3 linked regions of the Saccharomyces cerevisiae S288C genome follow. Each later gene encodes a partner of the first gene's protein in a complex. Each region holds a gene or a part of one and is shown in the gene's direction. Other genes may lie near its edges.

Region 1 (4,409 bases):
GTTTTAGTAGAGATTCTTCCCATTCATTTTTCACAGCAGATTCTATTAGTAACTTCCATTCGTCTGGAGAGAGTATCTGCAGAGAATTTATGTATAATAGTAAATGAAAGTTCGAGATTTTTTCATGCAAAAGATTGAAATCTCCACTTGAAGCCACATTGAATAAATACTTTTTTAATTCTTGATAATCTTGAGATTGCCCCATAGCTTGTCGATTGCTCCATGGAAATCCGGTGGAACTAACGAATTTCGAGTTGGTTTCCGTATCGGTATTCGGGAACCCATGAGTCAGCGTCACTAAAAGATAGTCTACCGGAAATGCAGGCTTCGCATTTTCCTTCACTGTTATACCATATTCATTCGACTTCATGTAAAATATCTCAGGTACATATCTTTCATCTGTAGTGTCATTAATATATGCCATTGAAGGAAATGTGGACCCACTTATCATATCTGCAGTAACCAATGCTTCAGCTTCTGTGGATACTTGGTAGCTCGAAATATCAATTTCACCTTCCAAATTACCTGATATAACGCAAGTTACAAACTTGGAAGAAAAAAAACCTTGTTCGCTATACTTGCTTACATTAGGATGCCTTGTTTGATGCCTAGCAGCCATAATAACTTCTAATGATGAAAGAAAAAACGAATCCTTATGTCTTTTGCAAAAAACAGACCCATCCCCAGCTCCCGCGTCAGATAAATCTGTAAATATTAGGCCAATTCGCGAAAGCCCCATTTCTTGAGCCTGTCTATCAATCTGTAGCATTTCATTCTTGACCTGTTCTACGTCCATGGTTAAACCGTCTTGCTCATCATGCTGAGGGGGCTCGTATATCGCCTCAACGACGGCCTTTATACCTAAAGGTGTGTTATCATACTTAGAATAAGATCCGTACATATAGCCAAATCTTTGCATACCCGTGTACCTCCACGCCTGAATAAATTCATTAATTATTTCACTCTTCTGAAATTCAACGTGGTCAACCATTCTAAATTCTTGCTGTTGTAATGTAATTGCCGATGGTTGACATTTAGAACATATCCCCCGAGGCCATGGTTCATGGCCATTATGGCAACGCTTATTGATTCTAAAATCAGGTTCTGAAAGAGGGGAAATATAAGAGCTGCCGTTCTCCTTCTTATTAGCATTTTCATTTAGCTTTTTAAGATATGAATGAAACGATATATGTTTGATCTTATTCTTCTCATGATATTCTTTGTCCCAAGGAGGTAAAGGCGAGCAGTATTCACACATACCTCTATCACCGTGCTTGCATAGTTTTGATTTTTGACGAGGAATTAATCCGTCCTCTTTCTCTAGTTCCTCATCTACAGCGAGTTCTTTGATCCTTAGTGGACCGTACCTGTGTTGACGAATTCCCTTGCTGTCAATACCTACGGATCCGATTTCAACATTGACACCATCTTTCTCATTAGCGGGCTTGTCCGAATAGTTAAGGATCAGCATGTCACCGTGCTTTAGTCCTAGATCCATCACTGTTCGATCAGCTAGTTCAGAAACAGCATGAATACCTTGACCGGGCTTCTCACAAACAGTAAATGTGTCGACATCGGCATTGGGGTCCAGATTACCCACCAACTTTTCAATGACCGTTCCGAAAAGGTCGTTTTCTTGACAAGAAACCCTGTGTGTACCGTTTTTTGATCTAAATCTGATAAGCATACTTCACTTAAATGTATATCGATATCAGTAGTATAGGGAAATTTTTCTTCAGAGTACTGTCCTATTATTTGCCACTCTTCGTTCTGTATGTTACGAGGGCGTTCCTTAAAATGGGTAGACGCATCTTATTACCCGCCAAAAAACGTCAAAAGTTTTAGGAACACGTCTAAAAGTTGAAATAATATGTGAAAAAATTGATGAAATATTAATGAAATGGCTTATTTAAACGAATTCAAGTACAGGAAAGAGGTACGCACAACTACTTGAGTTTGCCAATATGTCCGAATTTAATGAAACAAAATTCTCCAACAACGGGACGTTTTTTGAAACGGAAGAGCCAATTGTGGAGACGAAATCAATCTCCGTTTATACCCCACTCATATATGTCTTTATTCTGGTGGTGTCCCTTGTGATGTTTGCTTCAAGCTACAGAAAGAAGCAGGCCAAAAAAATTAGTGAGCAACCATCCATATTTGACGAAAACGATGCCCATGATCTGTATTTCCAAATAAAGGAAATGAGTGAAAATGAAAAAATTCACGAGAAGGTGTTGAAGGCCGCTTTATTGAACAGAGGAGCAGAATCTGTTAGACGATCATTAAAGTTAAAAGAGTTGGCTCCTCAGATAAACCTTCTATATAAAAATGGCTCTATTGGGGAGGATTACTGGAAGAGATTTGAAACTGAAGTTAAATTAATTGAATTGGAATTTAAAGATACTTTACAAGAAGCTGAAAGATTGCAACCGGGCTGGGTTCAATTGTTCGTTATGGTTTGTAAAGAAATTTGCTTTAATCAAGCTCTCTCTAGACGTTATCAATCAATCTTGAAACGGAAAGAAGTGTGTATTAAAGAGTGGGAGCTGAAAATAAATAATGATGGAAGATTAGTCAATTAGTGCCTACTGTGTGCAAAGATATGTATTCGCTCGTTCAGTGTTTTTTTAAAAATATGTATAGAATTTGTCATTATCTGCGTTAAAAAATAGTTATAAAGTATATACAATAACAATAAATGATAAAGAAATATGCAGTGAAAAGAAAAAATTATGAAGCTTTTCCTTTCAGTGTTTTCTACCCTTCTTCTTGCTCACTACTTGGAATTCCCAGCCGTCGTCATCATTGCCTGATAGAGCTAGCGCTTCATTCCAACTTAGTGGATCATCACCTTGTTTTTCGCACGCAACACGTCTTTTAATAAATTCAGTGGCAAATCTTCTACCATCCATAACGTCACTATTGGCATAAATTGTTTCTTGAATCAATTCTTTAGATTCTGGCCCCGTAGGTAAACTCAATAATAGTTCTAAGACATTGTTATTGGTTATTCCAGAATTTAATTTCATCTGTGATTTACACCATTTGATAAATTCTTGCCGGGGAGAAACATTGTTCATGCTAGCAAAGGTAGTGGTAGTAGAAGTTGTGCTAGTTTTTGCCGTTAATGAAGAATTTAAACTGGTATTGGTTTTTGAATATGGGGAGACAACGGTTCCTATAGGTGCTTTCCCTTTAGAAGTCACCGTAGTCCAAGAAGATGTGGTAGTAGATGCAGAGGATGTGGACTTTACTTGTTTGGAAGAACTCTGAACCTTTTCCCATAGTTTTTTCTGCTCTTCTATGAAATTTGGATCTTCCAACTCCTTTAACGGAGACGACTCTTTCATCCCTTTTGGGCTTTTTTGAAACTGAGATTTAATATCAATAGTTTGATTCGATGGTAGGCTGGACTTGTTAGCCCAGTTAAGCACGGATTTTAGTTCCTCCTTTTGCTTTTCTTCTTTGCTGTTCCTCTGTTGTAGACCTAAGGGTTCTCCTTTCTTCTTTCCAGTGCTACTTACACCATTTTTAATTGAAGTTTCGATTGCATTGTTAACTTTGACTTTTGAGGCCCATGGTGCCGGATTCGCGCTTGAGGAATTTAATGAAGGCAAATCTTTTGATGTCTTAAAGCCTTCTGTTTGTGTTTGTGTGTCCTTTTTTGTCTTTTCTGATTTTTTTTGCTTTTCTGCTTCCAAAGCTTCTTTTTCCTTTTGTTCCTTTTGTTCCTTTTGTTTCTTCAATAAATCATCCTCTTTTTGCTTTTGTTTCTTCGATAAGCGAGCTTCTTCCTTCCTTTTGAGTTCTCTGTTCCGTTTCTCTTGTTCATCCAATAACGCTTTTGCTACAGATTCGGATTTTTCCTTCTTCCCTTTTTCCAGCATAGTGGTCGATTTGTATTCTTGCTTGTGAGATTCATCTGTTTGACTAATGGTGGTTGCTGAGGCTAATTTAATATCGACTCCCTTGGAGGTGGTACCTCCATCCATATCCCAGATATTGTCATGTGTCAATGGCTTGAAAATATCGTTTTCAGTAGCTTTAATAGTGCCAGTAGCGGCAACACCGCTTGCGTAAGGAGCTAGATTCAAGTTGATAGAATCAGAGCTGGTTGTTTGAACGTGAAGTTTGTCAAAAGTAGTGAATGGATCCGTATCATACTTCTCGAGTTTAGTCATTAACTCACCAAGTGTGATGAAAATATCGTTTATTCCTAGCGTTTCTGGAGTGCTTCCCAATCTTGAAATCTGAAGGGTTGAAGCAAAATAGCCACCTATGTACCATTGTGACATCATTTGGGTAGTAAATGGACCATGAATCTGTCCCTGCGTGTCTATGTACCTCCAACTGGATTCAACTGAAACTGGTGCTGGGAGTTGTGACATTCCGTTCATGCTCATATT
Region 2 (10,487 bases), on another chromosome or scaffold:
GATTTGTATTTGAGGGAACTAAAAGACACCAAACTGGCTCCAAGTACCTTGCAAGATGCTGAAGGTAATGTTAAGCCTTGGAACCCACCACAAAAACCAAATCTACCAGAATTGGAACTTCAAGGCCCAGAGGCTTTAAAGGCTTACACCGAGCAAAATGTAGAAACTGCTCATGTTGCTAAAGAGTCTGAAGAGGGTGAGTCAGAGCCAATTGAAGAGGATTGGCTAGTTTTGGATGATGCTGAGGAAACCAAAGAAAGTCATTGAACTTTTCATAGCATCCTCCTTGTCGAAGAAAAAACAAACAGAACCACAAGCTGAACAAGATCATTATTTTTGGCTTTCTTCCTCTCATCTTTTTATATTCGAATCCAGTACAATAAAGAAAAAGCAAAATACACTACGCACTCTTTGTAATCAGCCACACAAAATGCAGAATTTATTTTTTAAACAAAAAATACAATTGTACATAGACACGTCTTTATCTTTCCTATTACTACTATTCTTTTATTTCAATAACTATTACTTTCTAAGTATGACCTACGCTTCTTTGGTAAATAAATAATGATCCGTTTATGAAGGACATGCGTGGTTCGTCACCTTAGGATAATATCGCTCTGGACGAAAGCTCATCCCACCGAGATAGAAAAAAAATTTTCGTTTCTTTTTTCTTTGGCGAAGATTTTGAAAAATTTGAACTGTATGATCAACTTTTCCTCACCTTTTAAGTTTGTTTCGTTTTTAAACAGGAAGAACTGCTCCTTCAACATTTTTCCCTCAATCGATTTTTAGTCCAGTACAAAAGGAAAATCAAATAAACTCATTTATATTATAAATGTCTGCCCCAGCTGCTAACGGTGAAGTTCCAACATTCAAACTAGTTCTTGTCGGTGATGGTGGTACTGGTAAGACCACTTTTGTCAAGAGACATTTGACCGGTGAATTCGAAAAGAAGTACATCGCCACCATTGGTGTCGAAGTGCATCCTTTATCCTTTTACACCAACTTCGGTGAAATTAAATTTGATGTCTGGGATACTGCCGGCCAAGAAAAATTCGGTGGTTTAAGAGACGGTTACTACATTAACGCCCAATGTGCCATCATCATGTTCGATGTTACTTCCAGAATTACTTACAAGAACGTTCCAAACTGGCACAGGGATTTAGTCCGTGTTTGTGAAAACATCCCAATTGTCTTGTGTGGTAACAAGGTCGATGTCAAAGAAAGAAAGGTCAAGGCCAAGACTATCACTTTCCACAGAAAGAAAAACTTGCAATACTACGATATTTCTGCCAAGTCCAACTACAACTTTGAAAAGCCTTTCTTATGGTTGGCCAGAAAATTGGCTGGTAACCCACAATTAGAATTTGTTGCTTCTCCAGCTTTAGCCCCACCAGAAGTCCAAGTCGATGAACAATTGATGCAACAATACCAACAAGAAATGGAACAAGCTACTGCTTTGCCATTGCCTGATGAAGATGATGCTGATTTATAAGGGACAAACGAGAACAAGCTTTCTTTTTTCCCTACCCTAAACTGTATACATATTTACATTCATCTCGATATAGAAATTCAATAAAAATCCACATGATTTTGAAGATTTTATAATTGCAACAAGAAAACACAAACTAACTGGTACTCCTGTCTTTTATAAAACAGATTTAAATATATAACAAATAGTTGAATGTGAATATGCTGTGATTTAAGTATATTTAAACGTATTTGGCTTGTCTAATATTATATTTTTTAGATCGTTTATGGATCGTTTCAAACGGATGTAGGAGCACACGTAACAATTAGATTATATCTTTGAACATAAAACCAATAGCCTTAAAATCAAAGAAACGTCTCCTTCAACTTGCGTTAAAGGCATACCAAAGCAAGCTTATTCAACCATGGTTACCCTTGAATACAATGCAAACAGTAAACTGATCACTGCGAGTGATGCTGTTGTTGCACTATCTACCGAAACTAATATCGATCAAATAAATGTTCTCACTACATCTTTGATTGGAGAAACCAACCCAAATTTTACACCACAACCGAATGAAGCTCTAAGCAAAATGATCAAGGGTTTATTTGAAAGTGGTATGAAGAATTTACAACAAAAAAAATTGAATGAGGCATTGAAGAATGTTTCTTTAGCAATCGAAATGGCACAAAGAAAAAGAGCGCCTTGGGAAGCTTTTGCTATTCAGCTACCAGAGCTACACTTTATGCTTCGTAGTAAAATAGATTTATGTTTAATACTCGGAAAGCATTTAGAGGCGTTGCAAGACTTGGATTTCTTACTTGGTACGGGACTTATCCAACCAGACGTATTTGTCAGGAAGGCGGACTGTTTGCTAAAATTGAGACAGTGGGAAGAGGCTAGGGCAACATGCGAGAGAGGTTTAGCTTTAGCCCCAGAGGATATGAAACTTAGAGCCCTTTTAATAGAAACTGCAAGAAATCTGGCCGAATATAACGGTGAATAAGGTGCATAACCGAAGATATTTTAGCCTTTTCTTGATATGTCTCTATGCTACACACGACTACATAGCAAGAAATTTTAGATAGATTCAAAAACACATAGCAAGCCCATTATCATATATACTAAGGAATAGCCTTTATGAAAGGCTTTGAACTATACAGCTTGAGTATATGATACCTCTGCTTCCCAACCGCAAGCTTTTTTTCTTCGTGATGCTGAAAAAAAAAAATGGACATAGAAAAAACCTTCATAAATGAAACAGACCATTCATTACTCGTGCGGAACCAGTAAACACAACACGCCAACTTTCGAACTTTTGCCCAACATAAGATGTCCTCTCAAGCATTCACTTCAGTACATCCGAATGCGGCAACATCTGATGTGAATGTTACCATTGACACTTTCGTTGCTAAGTTAAAAAGAAGACAAGTGCAAGGTTCATACGCCATCGCCTTGGAAACTTTACAACTGTTAATGCGATTTATCTCTGCAGCTCGTTGGAACCATGTTAATGACCTTATTGAACAAATCAGAGATTTAGGTAATAGTCTAGAAAAAGCTCATCCTACTGCTTTCAGTTGCGGTAACGTAATTAGAAGAATACTGGCTGTTTTGAGGGATGAAGTAGAAGAAGACACTATGAGCACAACTGTCACATCCACATCCGTTGCTGAACCTTTGATTTCCTCTATGTTTAATTTATTACAGAAACCGGAGCAACCTCATCAGAATAGAAAAAATAGTTCAGGGAGCTCTAGTATGAAAACCAAGACTGATTACCGTCAAGTAGCCATTCAGGGTATCAAGGATCTTATAGATGAGATAAAAAACATTGATGAAGGTATTCAGCAAATTGCTATTGATTTGATTCACGATCATGAGATTTTATTAACTCCCACACCTGATTCAAAAACCGTATTAAAATTTCTGATTACTGCTCGCGAACGTAGTAATAGAACATTTACGGTTTTAGTTACAGAGGGGTTCCCTAATAACACCAAGAATGCACATGAGTTTGCCAAAAAATTAGCACAGCACAACATAGAAACCCTAGTAGTCCCAGACTCAGCTGTTTTTGCTTTAATGTCCCGTGTGGGTAAGGTTATTATCGGCACTAAAGCCGTTTTTGTCAATGGGGGGACTATCTCGTCAAATTCAGGTGTATCATCCGTTTGTGAATGCGCCCGAGAATTTAGAACCCCTGTATTTGCTGTTGCAGGTTTGTATAAGCTTTCTCCTCTATATCCGTTCGACGTAGAGAAGTTTGTCGAATTTGGTGGGTCCCAACGTATATTACCTAGAATGGATCCAAGAAAAAGATTAGATACAGTTAATCAAATTACCGATTATGTTCCGCCTGAAAATATTGATATCTACATTACAAACGTCGGTGGGTTCAATCCAAGTTTTATATATCGTATTGCGTGGGATAATTACAAGCAAATTGATGTGCATTTGGATAAAAATAAGGCGTGATGATGTGTCTTTTGTACATTACTCATGAAAATAAATAAAAATCTTGTAGATCAAAACAATTTTTTTATTATTAATTATTAGTATATAATCAGAATATTTACGTATCCTTGAATATGTTAAAAGACTAATACATAAAGAGCATCTTAGCATTAACTTTTTACTTCTCTACAAAGTCTGGCAATTTGACTCATTTTTTTTTTTTAGTTGAGTGTCTCCTCGTAATGCCATCTTGTCGCTTTTGCATAATAGAAAAACAGGAAAACATTGAAAAAATAAAAAAATAAGGGAAATATGTATCGTATACAAAAATACAGCTAAAGCTTGAACTGAAGTAGAAAATGATACCAAAGCTTATAGTTTTTGGAGGCAATGGATTTTTAGGTAAAAGAATTTGTCAAGAAGCAGTGACTTCGGGCTACCAAGTCGTTTCTGTGTCAAGGTCCGGTAAAGCTCCTCATAGCAATGAATTAAATGATAAGCAATGGATGCAGGAGGTCCAATGGACCGCTGCTGACATTTTTAAGCCTGATTCTTACCATGAATTATTGAATAATGCTACTAACGTAGTTCATTCTTTGGGAATCCTCCTAGAAAATGAAAATTATAAGCAAACTCTATCCAAATCCCCTACATATGATTCAAAATCACGCCTTCTATCTTTTGGTGCAGGTCCAAATCCTTTAAAAAAAAGCAGTCCTTATTTTACTTATGAAATGATGAATAAGCAAAGTGCTATTATTTTGGCAGATACATTTAAACAAAAAATCCTAAAGAAAAGCAAAAAGGAGCAAGAAAAAGCAAATCAAAGATCTTTTACGTATATTTCCGCCGATAAAGGTTTCCCATTGATTCCTAGTGGCTATATTAATTCGAAAAGAGAGGCGGAGATTGAACTAGAAAAAATGCAGAGATATTTCAGGCCTATTATTGTGAGACCCGGTTTTATGTTCGATGAGCACAGAAATGCAATTGGACCACGGTCTTTTATTCATACTGCACTTGAACTACTTTACTGCGGTAACAAATTTCTATTGAGAAATAAGCTGCAGCTTTTGAACGACTTGATTAGGCCAACAGTATCCACTCAGCAGGTAAGCAAATCCGTCCTGAAAAATATCGAAAACCCAGATTTTAAAGGGGTAGTTACACTTGAGGAAATACTTAAAGCATAATGATTATGCCATTATTATATTTATTAATCTATTTTTCTCTTTTATTTACAAATGAAAAGTACTTAACTATATACAGCTTGGTATAATTTTAAAATGGTAATAACAATAATATGCAATGCTAACGGCGCAAAAAAGCCTGATATGCCTCTTGGTTGATTTGAATATTACCTACAGTTTTCATATGCTTTTTACCCTCTTTCTGTTTCGCCAAAAGTTTTTTCCTTCGTGAGACATCAGAAGCATGCAGCTTTTGGAGAACATCTTTTCTTCTTGCCTTAATTGTTTCTCTAGCTATTATCTTGTTATTAGCTCGGGCCTGTATAACGACCTCATATAATTGTGATTTAACATACTCTTTAAACTTCTTCACCCATTCTCTACCCACTCTCTCTACTTCCGATTTATGAAGTACTCTTGACAAGGCATCAATCGCATTTCCATTAACCAAGAGTTGCAGTTTTACAACATCAGAAATTCTATAGCCAGCATCCTCATAATCTAAAGAGGCAAATCCTCTGGACACCGATTTTAATTTACCAAAAAAGTCATCAACTAGATGCGATAGCGGAAGGTAATATTTTAACATCACTTGTCCATTGGTGTTTAGGTATGTTATATCAATTTGTTCTCCTCTATTACTATCGCATAAGCGTATGACACTACCTAAATATTCCTGGGGCAATGTCATAACTGCCTCTATAAACGGTTCATGGAAAGCAGCAACGTTCACCCTCTTTGTTGCTCCGTCTGGAAACTCATCCGGATTTGTTATAAGCTTTTTCTTACCATCGGTAAACTCCACCAAATAAGGAACTGTGGGTTGAGTAATGATCAATTTCGAACCATACTCTTTTTCTAGTCGTTCACGAAAAACAGATGCATGTAAAGATCCTAAAAAGCCCAATCTCCAACCTTGACCCAAAGCATTGGAGGTCTCACGTTCCAAAGTAACTGACCTATCGTTGAGGACAAGTCTACTCATATCATCATCCATGGCTTTGAATTCAATCCCATCAGCCGGGAAAGCACCCACAAATACCATGGGTTTTTGTTCTTCAAATCCGGGAAGTACTTCCGTTTCATTTACTTTACTTAAATGCATTATAGTATCTCCAATTTTTGCTTCTTTAGAATCCTTCATTCCCAGCACTAGATAGCCAACCTGTCCTGTCTTTAGCGTACCTGTAGAGGTTCTGTCAGGATACATGATTCCAATATCTTTGACTTCGTATTTTTCTTTTGTCTGAGCACAAATAACCTTGTCATTTTTACGTACAGAACCATCAACAATATTCACTAGAAGAACCGCTCCTAAGTATGCGTCGTACCAAGAATCCACTAATAATGCTCTGAAGGGTTTATCAGGCCTCCCCGTTGGTGGTGGTATACGATCAATTATAGCCGGTAGTAACAGTTCCTCTACATTTAATCCTGTTTTAGCACTTACTCCGATTATATCTTCCTCGGGGAGCTCAAAGTTATTCACTATCTGATCCTTTACCTGTTTAACATCTGTAAAATTTAGATCAATTTTGTTTATTACTGGAATTAATTTCAATCCTAAACTGAAGGCTAAATAAAAATTAGCAACCGTCTGTGCTTGTATGCCTTGTGATGCATCAACCAAAAGAATTGCTCCCCCACAAGACGCATATGACCGTGAAACTTCACCTCTGAAGTCCACATGTCCTGGCGTGTCAATTAAATGTAAAAGATAGTTTTTTCCGGTCCTCTTATCTTTATAAAACATCGAACATGTTTGCGCCTTTATAGTAATACCTCTTTCTCTTTCGACTTCCAATTTATCCAAAACTTGTTTATTTCTCGCATTGGGATCGATGACATGCGTTATTTCCAGCAGTCTGTCACTTAAGGTTGACTTCCCATGGTCAACATGGGCAACTATAGAGAAATTTCTGTAATTTTCGAGAGGTATTTGCTCGATCTGTGCTTGTAACTTCTGTGCAGGGGTAGTCGTATGGTTATATCGTAAGAAATATGCGTGTCGTTTATAACACCGTATATGTCTCACTGGCCTAATTCTAAATTTCAGCATTTTTATGTGCAACTAGTTTCCCATATTCATGGCTCTTTTTCAATGGTTGCGGCTACAAATATAGGCGAGTTATACTTGCCCTCGTCTATTATTCAACTTTTTTATTTACATCAAAATAGCAACATAAACATACGGAGATGATGAGAGAAAAAAGAAGACAAAAGGTGTGTCTTAATTCAGTTAAATGAAATTAAAATTGATAGTAAATGGTTGTGAAGCACCTGATGATTATAAATTGCTAAGAACTACTATCAATACAGTTGCTTCGCTACGAAAGACGGCTATCTTAAGATTTAATAGTGAAAGATTGACAATAATATCCACTCCAAAATCATCACTCAACAGCAGTAACAACGGTACAATATTACGAGGGGATACTGGTCAGCTTTGGTGTACCATTCCTCATGATGTATTCAGATTATATACAGTTATATCAGCTCGCGAGCTCAATACAATAACAATGGAGTGTAATTGTGATTCTTTATTGAGTGTGTTTAAAAGGTATGATCGAGTAATGAACCAAGGATCTTCCTCTAATATGACTATAAAACTACAGTCAATGCCAGAATGGAATACAAATAACGGAACACTTTCAGGAGGAACAGCAGGAGGCGTAGATACAACCTCAAAACCGAACCCCATTTGTGCTCTAGGTATAACATTCGAAGAAATTGTACATACTAGCGGCCCAAATGACGCTATAGTTATGAATGGGGGAGTGGATGAGCACAATGGTTTACCAACCACAGTAGGCACAGGAAATCTACTCGCAAGCAATAAGGTTATCATGCATTCGTTCAAAGTACCTGTCAAACTATTATTCCGAGCACAAGATACGCGAATACAAGAGCCAATGATTAACTATATTCAACTGATGATGTACAAGCTGCCACCAATATCGGGCGAGTTTGGCTCCGCCTTCCACGGGTTTATTAGACGTGTTGAACGGTACAGTAATGTCAACCACATTCATTTAATGGGAGTCAAAAAAAAGGAGCATGGAAATGAAGGTGATGATGTAGAACTTAAGATAATTGTGAATGAATTAGATTGGCATTTGGAAATATGCTGGAATGGACCCTTAGACTCTGTGATACAACGCCAAGAAGGGCTCACTGACAATCCTTCCCAAAACCAGCACATCGACACAGACGGCCGGCAGGAGGAAGGATCTCTTCCGATTATCGAAGCGGATAAACCGATGTCTTCACTATATACCAATACTAGAGATCGAGAGATGGAAGAAAATATCCGCTACGATGAAGATTTATTAAGAATTGAGGATAGCTCGATCGCAGATACGCGGGGAAACATTTACACAGCTGATACTAGCGGTGATACTGAATTTAATGACATATCCGTTATGGTGGAAAAGGCTGAACAGGAAAGTTCGTCCACACATGAAGTAATCATCCGTTGCAAAGATTGGAAGGTGTGTTCCAAGTTATACGCTGCATTTGAAGAAGTTGTTTTGGCGATTTCTCACGACGAATCCTGCGTATTCCACTGTTCGTTGGATCGTGGTAGCTTGGAAGATAGCGAAGATGTGGAAAAACCAAGGGAAAGAGGACAAATCATATATTATATAGCAAGATCGAAGGGCTTGTAAACCCTACAGCGGTACATTTCTTTGCTACGTTGCTAAGGAAACTCTTTAAATCTGACATGGCTGAGAACTGCAGAGTTGCAGAGTTGCAGACTATCACATCCGTACATATGTATAAAAAAATCCGTGCTTTACATACTAACTGCTTTTCTTTTTTCCGTTCGAAAAAAAAAAATGTCGTGAGGTTGTCGGAAACCTCAGAAAAAATAGATAGAACAAAACAGCCTTACGAACGGTATGTTGCATTTTAAAGGCTACATGAACTGCACATTAAATTTGCCACTGTAATAATCTTCCATATCCCCATACAAAAACTACGCAAATATGGTACGTAATGCCTCATTAGGATTTTAAAATATGAAAAAAATGGACGTTTCAGCGAGGAATGAATAACAAGAAATAGCTAATTTGAATATATTACTGGTGTTTCATATCTATATATACCGCAGAAAAAGAAATAAAACGCAATATATCTTTAAACTGGCTCCACCCTGAGAATATGATAGGAAACTTTTTAAATTTGAGTTCTGTTACATCAAAAACGTAATTGCTTGACACAGATTTTTCGAGGGCAACAGCGTGGACTTAACATAATGTCGAGTTTAATAACAACATTTTTTGACGGAGAGTTAAAAAGGCTTTGAGAAAATAGCAGAGTGAAGTTTATTTTTAGCATCCTTGCTGATACGCCAAATAATTCAAAAATTCACTATACTAACATGGTCATTAATTTTTAATATTAATATTATTTATTTAGGCTAAAGTTCATGGTTCTCTAGCTCGTGCTGGTAAAGTCAAGTCTCAAACACCAAAGGTTGAAAAAACCGAAAAGCCAAAGAAGCCTAAGGGTCGTGCTTACAAAAGATTATTGTACACCAGAAGATTCGTTAACGTTACCTTGGTTAACGGTAAGAGAAGAATGAACCCAGGTCCATCCGTCCAATAAGAAAATTAACAGTTGTGGAAAAGGAGCTTAAAAGTAACAAGAAACAAAATAGCAGTCATGCCATCTTTACTTCAAGATAGTTTTTGACTTGTATTTGTATTTCCGTTATGCGTTTTTTACTTTAAATATAAAGCAGTATTGAAATTATGTAAGTAGTGTTAACTATAAATTATTTCTTTAGGACTTTAACTTCGCAAAATTATGCTATTCATATTATCGATTTACTTCTTTGCTGTCTTGGTGTGATGCTTTTATTAATAAGGAGGATCTTGCCGTACCTAGGGTTGGCAAACGTTTTTCTAGTTGTTTTTGAATGGGCGCTTCATAATGTGGCAATGAAAAAAAAAAAACTAGAAAAAAACTGCAATGATCTTGACGATGACATGAAGCCTCCTTTTAACAAAATCCATTGAGGTCAACAAGCATCACCAGAGACGCCTATTATAAACTTTATAAGAGAAATACCAGTTATACAATAATGTCTACTGGAAGCAGTGATAGAAAGGATGACGTCAAATTATTGGAACTGCTGAATTCTATAGATGAACAGTTTTTAGTGCCATACAAAAAGCCGGAAGACTTGCGTAAAATCTCCTCTACTACCAAACTACAAGGTTCCACCCCAACTAAGGAACTAGACAAATTAGCCTCTGTATTGAAGGCACATTGCACAAAAATAGGTATTGTTTGCAAGCCAGGAACTTTTGATAACAATCATAAAGTTGTGATTACCGAAATCCAAAATTTTAGTAGGCCAT
Region 3 (7,566 bases), on another chromosome or scaffold:
GGATAAATTTGAACGTGTTGAGAAGATTCTGGAAGACGAACAGAACCAACAATCTGTCAAGGATTTGCTAGTATATCTTTTACATATTAGTATGGAATTGATTGATGACCCGCTACTTCATTTTGACATAATAAGCTATGTTGAAGATATCGATGAAAGATTGCAAAGGTTAGAGCAAGCATACCCTGAAAAACTAAACTTCACATCAATAATCAAAGGTTTGTTATTTTGGAAGAAAATCGGTAGCGAATGGGCGTCATGGACTCAAGGTTGGGAGAACATAGTATGGTCGCATGGGGATGGTATAGAGCCCTCCTTACTTTCAATTAATAGGTGGACATGGAATAAAAAATTGACTAATATTGGTAGAAGAACATGCTCTCCGGCGGGTCTACCTAATAGATCATTTTATAAGAACGTTTTGTTCGGACCAACATTGATACAGGAGGATAAATCTAAAAATGGTGGAAATGTAGATTTCTGGACATTTCCAGGAGTGATGGATGCGATTTACGATGATGACTGGAAGAGGGCTCAAGAACAAATTGACCTTATTGGCAAAGTACTCCATCAGTCTGCTGCATTGTTTGTCGAAGAGACTAATGACATCGGGTATAAATAAATTGAACTGAAAGAATACATATTGTAAGTATAAGGAAGTATGTTAATAAAATTTTTTCTTTAATTATGTAATACATGGCATGCAAGCATTTCTTCTTTTTGGGATGCTTTTCCTCTTAGTATCCTATGTTTGTATATATCTTTTTGTTAAATGACACGAGAGAAGGAGACAATAGGATAATTTTGAAATTTCTGTATCACAATCGTATCTAGTTTCTTCTCTACACCTTTGTTTTGACGCGATGTTTCCTCTTCAAAAAGCTTCCCAAGCAACTTAGATTTTCCAATCTCCTGATTATTTCGTTTTTCTTTAGAAGATTTTTTAGAATGCCTGTGCAAAGAGTGATAATCTTTAACTCTCAGGGAATGGTCGTCACAAAATCTGATATATACCGAAGAGACTTCTTCTTCTACATCCTCTTCAAGAACACTAGGCCTAGTCTGCATCTTATTACTCCTACCCCCTAATTTGTCACTTCTTATAGTATTTTTATCGTGAAATATTATTTTAACATCAGCATGGTTTGCTGTGACTTTCTTGATCTTTCTAACGGTTTCTGCGCACTGTTGGTGTTCAACTTTGTGGATGCTTCCGTCTTTTCTCTTTAAATTATTGCCAAAAATTTCATTGTGATAGAACCTTAGGGCATATTTTCTTTTGCTTAATTTTAAACGAGACAAATTGTTCCTTTGCAGTACATATACCCTTGGTGATTCTTGGCAACCCTTGGGAAACCTTGCAATCAGTAGTGGTTTCTTTTTGGAACTTCCTGGACATAGTCCAGACGGTTCATTTATCATGTCCTCAATGTGTATTTCGGAGAGGGGGCTCAAGTTCCAGCGAGTATTATATTGGTGAATGTGAAGTTTGTGGACATGCCACCTCCTCTTTAATTTCCGGCCACTGAACAGTTGACACAGTCGAAAATATAGGTAAAAAAAATGACCAGATTTGGACTTTCTCGGTGAAGGTGGTGCTCTCATGCTTCTTTTCTATTTTGAGTTATTAACGTCTTAGCTTTATAATGTCACAATCTGACTTCATTACTGACACAATCGCTCTTATAACGCGAATTGGTCACTCGTTACGGAAAGGCGTTTTCTGAAAAATTTGTCTTGAACACGTCGAAGATCACTGAACGAATAAAAGATGCGACTGGAACAATAGTCAGTTATAATTGACCAAAGAAGGCCTTCGCAACAAAATAAATATACTGCATATTACAGCACAATGCCTACAAATTACGAGTATGATGAGGCTAGTGAGACGTGGCCGTCCTTCATTTTAACGGGGCTCTTGATGGTCGTCGGGCCTATGACACTGCTTCAAATATACCAAATTTTTTTTGGGGCCAATGCTGAAGATGGGAATTCAGGGAAGAGTAAGGAGTTTAATGAGGAAGTTTTCAAGAACTTGAATGAAGAATACACCAGTGATGAAATCAAACAATTTAGAAGGAAGTTTGATAAAAATAGTAATAAGAAGTCCAAAATATGGAGCAGGAGAAATATTATAATTATTGTGGGTTGGATCTTAGTTGCAATTCTTCTGCAAAGGATTAATAGTAATGACGCGATTAAAGACGCTGCTACAAAATTATTTGATCCTTATGAAATCCTTGGTATCTCTACTAGTGCTTCCGATAGAGACATCAAATCTGCTTATAGAAAATTATCTGTTAAATTTCATCCAGATAAATTAGCAAAGGGCCTAACACCTGATGAGAAAAGTGTGATGGAAGAAACTTATGTTCAGATTACGAAGGCTTACGAATCCCTTACTGACGAATTGGTTAGGCAAAACTATTTGAAATACGGTCATCCAGATGGCCCACAATCTACTTCACATGGTATCGCTCTACCAAGATTTTTGGTAGATGGAAGTGCATCTCCATTATTAGTGGTTTGTTATGTTGCGCTACTAGGTTTAATCTTGCCATATTTTGTTAGTAGATGGTGGGCAAGAACACAATCGTATACTAAGAAGGGAATACATAATGTGACGGCTTCTAATTTTGTTAGTAACTTAGTCAATTACAAGCCATCTGAGATTGTCACCACAGATTTGATCTTACACTGGTTATCATTTGCTCATGAATTTAAACAATTCTTCCCGGATTTGCAACCAACGGATTTTGAAAAACTTTTGCAAGATCATATTAACCGCAGAGATAGTGGTAAACTTAACAATGCGAAATTTAGAATAGTGGCCAAATGTCACTCTTTGTTACACGGTTTATTGGATATTGCTTGTGGATTCAGAAATTTAGATATTGCATTGGGTGCAATCAATACTTTCAAGTGTATTGTTCAGGCTGTACCATTAACACCAAACTGTCAAATCCTTCAATTGCCGAACGTAGATAAAGAGCACTTTATTACCAAAACCGGAGATATTCATACATTAGGTAAATTGTTTACTTTAGAAGATGCCAAGATTGGTGAGGTTCTTGGAATAAAGGATCAAGCAAAGTTAAACGAAACTTTGAGAGTTGCATCGCATATTCCAAATCTAAAGATCATCAAGGCAGACTTCCTTGTCCCAGGTGAGAACCAAGTAACACCATCATCTACCCCATACATTTCTTTGAAAGTACTGGTTCGTTCTGCTAAACAGCCATTGATACCAACTAGCTTAATTCCTGAAGAAAATTTAACAGAACCTCAAGATTTTGAATCTCAAAGAGATCCATTTGCTATGATGAGTAAACAGCCACTCGTCCCATATTCCTTTGCACCATTTTTCCCTACAAAGAGACGTGGGAGTTGGTGCTGTCTGGTAAGTTCTCAAAAAGATGGTAAAATACTTCAAACGCCAATTATCATTGAAAAGCTATCTTACAAGAACTTGAACGATGACAAAGATTTCTTTGATAAGAGGATAAAAATGGATTTAACCAAACACGAAAAATTCGATATAAATGATTGGGAAATCGGGACCATAAAAATTCCATTAGGTCAGCCTGCACCTGAAACTGTTGGTGATTTCTTTTTTAGAGTAATCGTTAAATCCACAGATTATTTCACTACAGATTTGGATATTACCATGAATATGAAAGTTCGTGATTCTCCTGCAGTGGAACAAGTAGAGGTGTATTCTGAGGAGGATGATGAGTACTCTACTGATGACGACGAAACCGAAAGTGATGATGAAAGTGATGCTAGCGATTATACTGATATCGATACGGATACAGAAGCTGAAGATGATGAATCACCAGAATAGATATAAGTGATTAGTATAGTTTTTCATTTTAGCTCTTAGACGTATATATTTCATCTTTATAAAAATAGATACATGTGTATACAAAGCAAAACCAAAAAAAAAAAAAAAATTTTTCAGCCATCTGTTAAGAAATGTGTTTTTTCAATAAGATAGCATCTTGTTCGTCGCCATTTACACCTTTTATGAAATTGTTGACAGTTTCGCCCACTTGTTCGAAGCCATGAGCTATAAACCATTGCTTTGTAAGATCATCCACTGCTGGTAAATAGACAAACACGTTATGTTGATGACATTCTGAGCATTTGTCTTCTGCAAACTTCAGTAATTTTGAACCGATGGATTTGTGCCTATAATTAGGCAACACGCCCAAAAATTCGATTTGAATGCCCTTGAGAGATAGTTCGTTTTGTTTTTTAGGAACTAATTTAGCAACCAAACCACCCACTGGTATTTCACTGTAATAAGCCATCTGTGTGAAATGTACATCCTTCTTCGAAGATGGCTTTTTATTTTTTGCAACTAAGCTATCCTCAGCGAATAATGCACTGAAGAAGGCATCTTGATATAAGTTTGGTACTGTCACATGAGCTAGTTTGGTTAGCATGCCCAAATTGTTAGCGTAAACATTGTCTAATGTGCATATATCACGGCCCATATTTCGCACTACTCCCTTCAATTGTCTTTGCCAATTTGTTTGTTACGGATTAATTTGTGAAAAAGCTTCGCTAATAATATCAATTTTCTTTTTTTTCTTTGCTTTTTCTACTATAATATACATAAAATTATATAAAGAGCATATAAACCATAAAGATTCCTCTGCGACACTTCTTATTCATTTCCTCCAACGACTTGTTCACCTTTATCATTAATTCTGATCAATCTTAGAGTATTCAAAAGGCCAAAAGTGCCATTCCAGTTTCTTAGAAATTCCATATTCTTCGCATCACTCAAGTCTGGACAGAGAAACCCCGCCTTAAATTCTTTTAACTCTTGATCCCTCCTTTGTTGCAGTAGCACTTGTCTATTGCTTGGTGGCCTGTTTGACCTCCTCTTCTTCTTGAGTTCGTCTAATTCCGTATCATCTCTTTCAATAAAACTTTGAATAAACTCTCTTGTGTGGGCGTGATCAAATATTGGTTGCCCTTTGAATGTATCAGAGTTAACTACATCCTGCATAAATTTTACCCGAGCTAGTTCGTGGACTCTTTTGTCTTGATGAAGCTTCTTTTTGGCTGCGATTTTATCTTCACGCATAGTAGCCCTGACCAGCTTTTCATACTTTCTACCCTTCGGATGAACCGTGATATTTTTCCCTTTCTTGGATAAGTTCTTTTGCAACTTAGATAAAGATTTAGTAACCGGCATGATTAGTTTGTCGTGGTAAGTCCTGTTCCGATACTTTTCTTCTTAGAAAGTACCTTTAAAGAGCTCATCTCTCATCTCGTCTATTAAACCATTTTAAAATTTTCGCTCGGGATGTTCAGCTGTGTACAATAATACAGCGTAAGTGCATTCAAACAATGAGGACAAAAGCATAAAGTTGTGAAGAAAATTGCCCATACATTCAATGCCATTATTTGATCTTATTTCTCCAAAAGCGTTTGTTAAGTTAGTGGCCAGTGAGAAGGTTCATAGAATCGTTCCAGTTGATGCAACATGGTACCTACCCAGTTGGAAGCTTGATAATAAAGTGGATTTCTTGACCAAACCACGTATACCAAACTCCATTTTCTTTGATATTGATGCAATCAGTGACAAAAAATCGCCCTATCCACATATGTTCCCTACAAAGAAGGTTTTTGACGACGCTATGAGTAATTTAGGAGTTCAAAAAGATGATATATTAGTGGTTTACGATCGTGTTGGTAACTTTAGCTCCCCTAGATGTGCTTGGACATTAGGAGTGATGGGACATCCTAAGGTGTACTTACTAAATAATTTCAACCAGTACAGAGAGTTTAAGTACCCTCTAGATTCCTCTAAGGTGGCAGCGTTTTCACCCTATCCAAAGAGTCATTATGAGTCCTCAGAAAGTTTCCAAGACAAGGAGATTGTAGACTATGAGGAAATGTTCCAATTGGTAAAGAGTGGGGAACTGGCTAAGAAATTCAATGCTTTCGATGCAAGGTCGCTCGGTAGATTCGAAGGTACAGAACCAGAGCCTCGTTCCGACATTCCATCGGGGCATATTCCAGGTACCCAACCATTACCATATGGAAGTTTACTTGATCCGGAGACCAAAACGTACCCAGAAGCTGGGGAGGCGATACACGCTACTTTGGAAAAGGCATTGAAAGACTTTCATTGCACTTTGGACCCAAGTAAACCAACTATTTGCTCTTGTGGAACTGGCGTTTCAGGAGTCATTATCAAGACAGCATTGGAGCTAGCAGGAGTTCCCAATGTTAGATTATATGATGGATCCTGGACCGAGTGGGTCTTGAAATCCGGGCCCGAGTGGATTGCTGAAAACAGAGATTAATAAGAGAAATATATTCTTGACAAGTCGATTTATTTAGCTACATATATTAATTATCTATCTACTTACTTAAAGGGCGATCTCCCTTTCTTTGTCTTATTTGTGCTCTTCATTGTTATTGCCCGGTAAAATAGAAAATAACAGCAAAAAATAAGACTGCTGGCAAAAATGAGCAGAGACCTTTCTATCGAGGGAAAAGAACAAACTATTAATTCTTTTCGAAATTCCAACACGATTAAACCATCATGGCAAGTCTACCTGGTATTGATGAGCATACTACCTCTGAAGAATTGATAACTGGTGATAACGAATGGCACAAGTTGGTTATTCCCAAGGGCAGTGATTGGCAAATTGATCTTAAAGCAGAGGGAAAACTGATAGTCAAGGTAAACTCGGGCATAGTTGAGATATTTGGCACCGAGTTGGCAGTAGATGATGAGTACACTTTTCAGAACTGGAAGTTTCCCATATACGCTGTCGAAGAAACAGAATTATTATGGAAATGTCCTGATTTAACTACGAATACAATAACTGTCAAGCCTAACCATACTATGAAATATATTTATAATCTACACTTCATGTTGGAGAAGATACGAATGTCTAACTTTGAAGGCCCTCGAGTGGTGATTGTTGGTGGTTCGCAAACCGGGAAGACTTCCCTATCGAGGACACTATGTTCTTACGCTTTGAAATTCAACGCTTACCAACCACTATACATCAATCTTGACCCTCAACAGCCCATTTTTACTGTTCCTGGATGCATATCTGCCACCCCAATATCAGATATACTTGATGCACAACTACCCACTTGGGGTCAGAGTCTCACTAGTGGTGCCACACTACTACATAATAAGCAGCCAATGGTGAAAAATTTTGGCCTGGAAAGGATTAATGAGAACAAAGATCTATACCTTGAGTGTATAAGCCAGTTAGGTCAAGTAGTAGGTCAAAGGTTACATTTGGATCCTCAAGTCAGGAGATCAGGGTGCATTGTCGATACGCCATCAATATCACAACTGGATGAAAATTTGGCTGAACTGCACCATATCATTGAGAAACTCAATGTTAACATTATGCTAGTACTATGTTCTGAAACGGATCCTCTTTGGGAGAAAGTAAAAAAGACATTTGGTCCAGAATTGGGAAATAATAATATTTTTTTCATTCCTAAATTGGATGGTGTATCCGCAGTTGATGATGTATACAAAAGATCCTTGCAGAGGACATCCATAAGAGAGTACTT

The links.
Region 2: the proteins of SEC66 (region 1) and SEC72 are in contact, whole or in part, in a cryo-EM structure (PDB 7KAO), measured with the Saccharomyces cerevisiae proteins. Residues at the interface, in NP_009730.3 of Saccharomyces cerevisiae: Ala71 (codon at 2,175), Leu74 (codon at 2,184), Gln77 (codon at 2,193), Ile78 (codon at 2,196), Met81 (codon at 2,205), Ile87 (codon at 2,223), His88 (codon at 2,226), Lys90 (codon at 2,232), Val91 (codon at 2,235), Lys93 (codon at 2,241), Ala94 (codon at 2,244), Ala95 (codon at 2,247), Leu97 (codon at 2,253), Asn98 (codon at 2,256), Trp159 (codon at 2,439), Leu162 (codon at 2,448), Met165 (codon at 2,457), Val166 (codon at 2,460), Glu169 (codon at 2,469), Ile170 (codon at 2,472), Phe172 (codon at 2,478), Asn173 (codon at 2,481), Gln174 (codon at 2,484), Leu176 (codon at 2,490), Ser177 (codon at 2,493), Arg178 (codon at 2,496), Arg179 (codon at 2,499), Tyr180 (codon at 2,502), Gln181 (codon at 2,505), Ile183 (codon at 2,511); in NP_013395.1 of Saccharomyces cerevisiae: Thr3 (codon at 1,902), Leu4 (codon at 1,905), Tyr6 (codon at 1,911), Lys11 (codon at 1,926), Ile13 (codon at 1,932), Asn27 (codon at 1,974), Ile28 (codon at 1,977), Gln30 (codon at 1,983), Ile31 (codon at 1,986), Leu34 (codon at 1,995), Thr35 (codon at 1,998), Leu38 (codon at 2,007), Ile39 (codon at 2,010), Glu41 (codon at 2,016), Pro44 (codon at 2,025), Asn45 (codon at 2,028), Phe46 (codon at 2,031), Pro48 (codon at 2,037), Ile85 (codon at 2,148), Glu86 (codon at 2,151), Gln89 (codon at 2,160), Arg90 (codon at 2,163), Ala93 (codon at 2,172), Pro94 (codon at 2,175), Trp95 (codon at 2,178), Glu96 (codon at 2,181), Phe98 (codon at 2,187), Gln101 (codon at 2,196), Leu102 (codon at 2,199), Leu105 (codon at 2,208).
Region 3: the proteins of SEC66 (region 1) and SEC63 are in contact, whole or in part, in a cryo-EM structure (PDB 6N3Q), measured with the Saccharomyces cerevisiae proteins. Residues at the interface, in NP_009730.3 of Saccharomyces cerevisiae: Asn69 (codon at 2,169), Lys109 (codon at 2,289), Leu113 (codon at 2,301), Gln116 (codon at 2,310), Ile117 (codon at 2,313), Leu120 (codon at 2,322), Asn123 (codon at 2,331), Gly124 (codon at 2,334), Ser125 (codon at 2,337), Ile126 (codon at 2,340), Gly127 (codon at 2,343), Glu128 (codon at 2,346), Asp129 (codon at 2,349), Tyr130 (codon at 2,352), Arg133 (codon at 2,361), Arg178 (codon at 2,496), Arg179 (codon at 2,499), Ser182 (codon at 2,508), Arg186 (codon at 2,520), Val189 (codon at 2,529), Glu193 (codon at 2,541), Trp194 (codon at 2,544); in NP_014897.1 of Saccharomyces cerevisiae: Gln247 (codon at 2,591), Thr250 (codon at 2,600), Lys251 (codon at 2,603), Lys252 (codon at 2,606), Asn256 (codon at 2,618), Ala259 (codon at 2,627), Ser260 (codon at 2,630), Val263 (codon at 2,639), Val267 (codon at 2,651), Asn268 (codon at 2,654), Tyr269 (codon at 2,657), Lys270 (codon at 2,660), Pro271 (codon at 2,663), Ser272 (codon at 2,666), Glu273 (codon at 2,669), Ile274 (codon at 2,672), Thr276 (codon at 2,678), Ile339 (codon at 2,867), Gly342 (codon at 2,876), Phe343 (codon at 2,879), Arg344 (codon at 2,882), Leu365 (codon at 2,945), Pro367 (codon at 2,951), Thr528 (codon at 3,434).

What each region holds. Positions count from the first base shown.
Region 1 is NC_001134.8:576,400-580,808, forward strand, and holds SEC66 (Sec63 complex subunit SEC66), read left to right. Parts: upstream 1-1,964; coding exon 1,965-2,585; downstream 2,586-4,409. Other genes in the region: NPL4 (nuclear protein localization protein 4), read right to left, coding at 1-1,687; SMY2 (Smy2p), read right to left, coding at 2,751-4,409. UniProt on the Saccharomyces cerevisiae protein: Acts as a component of the Sec62/63 complex which is involved in SRP-independent post-translational translocation across the endoplasmic reticulum (ER) and functions together with the Sec61 complex and KAR2 in a channel-forming translocon complex.
Region 2 is NC_001144.5:711,779-722,265, reverse strand, and holds SEC72 (Sec63 complex subunit SEC72), read left to right. Parts: upstream 1-1,895; coding exon 1,896-2,477; downstream 2,478-10,487. Other genes in the region: ATP14 (F1F0 ATP synthase subunit h), read left to right, coding at 1-267; Ran GTPase GSP1, read left to right, coding at 836-1,495; GCD7 (translation initiation factor eIF2B subunit beta), read left to right, coding at 2,804-3,949; ubiquinone biosynthesis protein COQ11, read left to right, coding at 4,288-5,121; GTPase GUF1, read right to left, coding at 5,240-7,177; MEC3 (Mec3p), read left to right, coding at 7,362-8,786; 40S ribosomal protein eS30 RPS30A, read left to right, coding at 9,108-9,110, 9,541-9,729; YLR287C (uncharacterized protein), read left to right, coding at 10,208-10,487. UniProt on the Saccharomyces cerevisiae protein: Acts as a non-essential component of the Sec62/63 complex which is involved in SRP-independent post-translational translocation across the endoplasmic reticulum (ER) and functions together with the Sec61 complex and KAR2 in a channel-forming translocon complex.
Region 3 is NC_001147.6:801,310-808,875, reverse strand, and holds SEC63 (protein-transporting protein SEC63), read left to right. Parts: upstream 1-1,852; coding exon 1,853-3,844; downstream 3,845-7,566. Other genes in the region: TRE2 (putative zinc metalloprotease), read left to right, coding at 1-622; OSW1 (Osw1p), read right to left, coding at 769-1,605; peptide alpha-N-acetyltransferase subunit NAT5, read right to left, coding at 3,969-4,499; TMA16 (Tma16p), read right to left, coding at 4,673-5,209; TUM1 (thiosulfate sulfurtransferase), read left to right, coding at 5,412-6,326; cleavage polyadenylation factor subunit CLP1, read left to right, coding at 6,569-7,566. UniProt on the Saccharomyces cerevisiae protein: Acts as a component of the Sec62/63 complex which is involved in SRP-independent post-translational translocation across the endoplasmic reticulum (ER) and functions together with the Sec61 complex and KAR2 in a channel-forming translocon complex.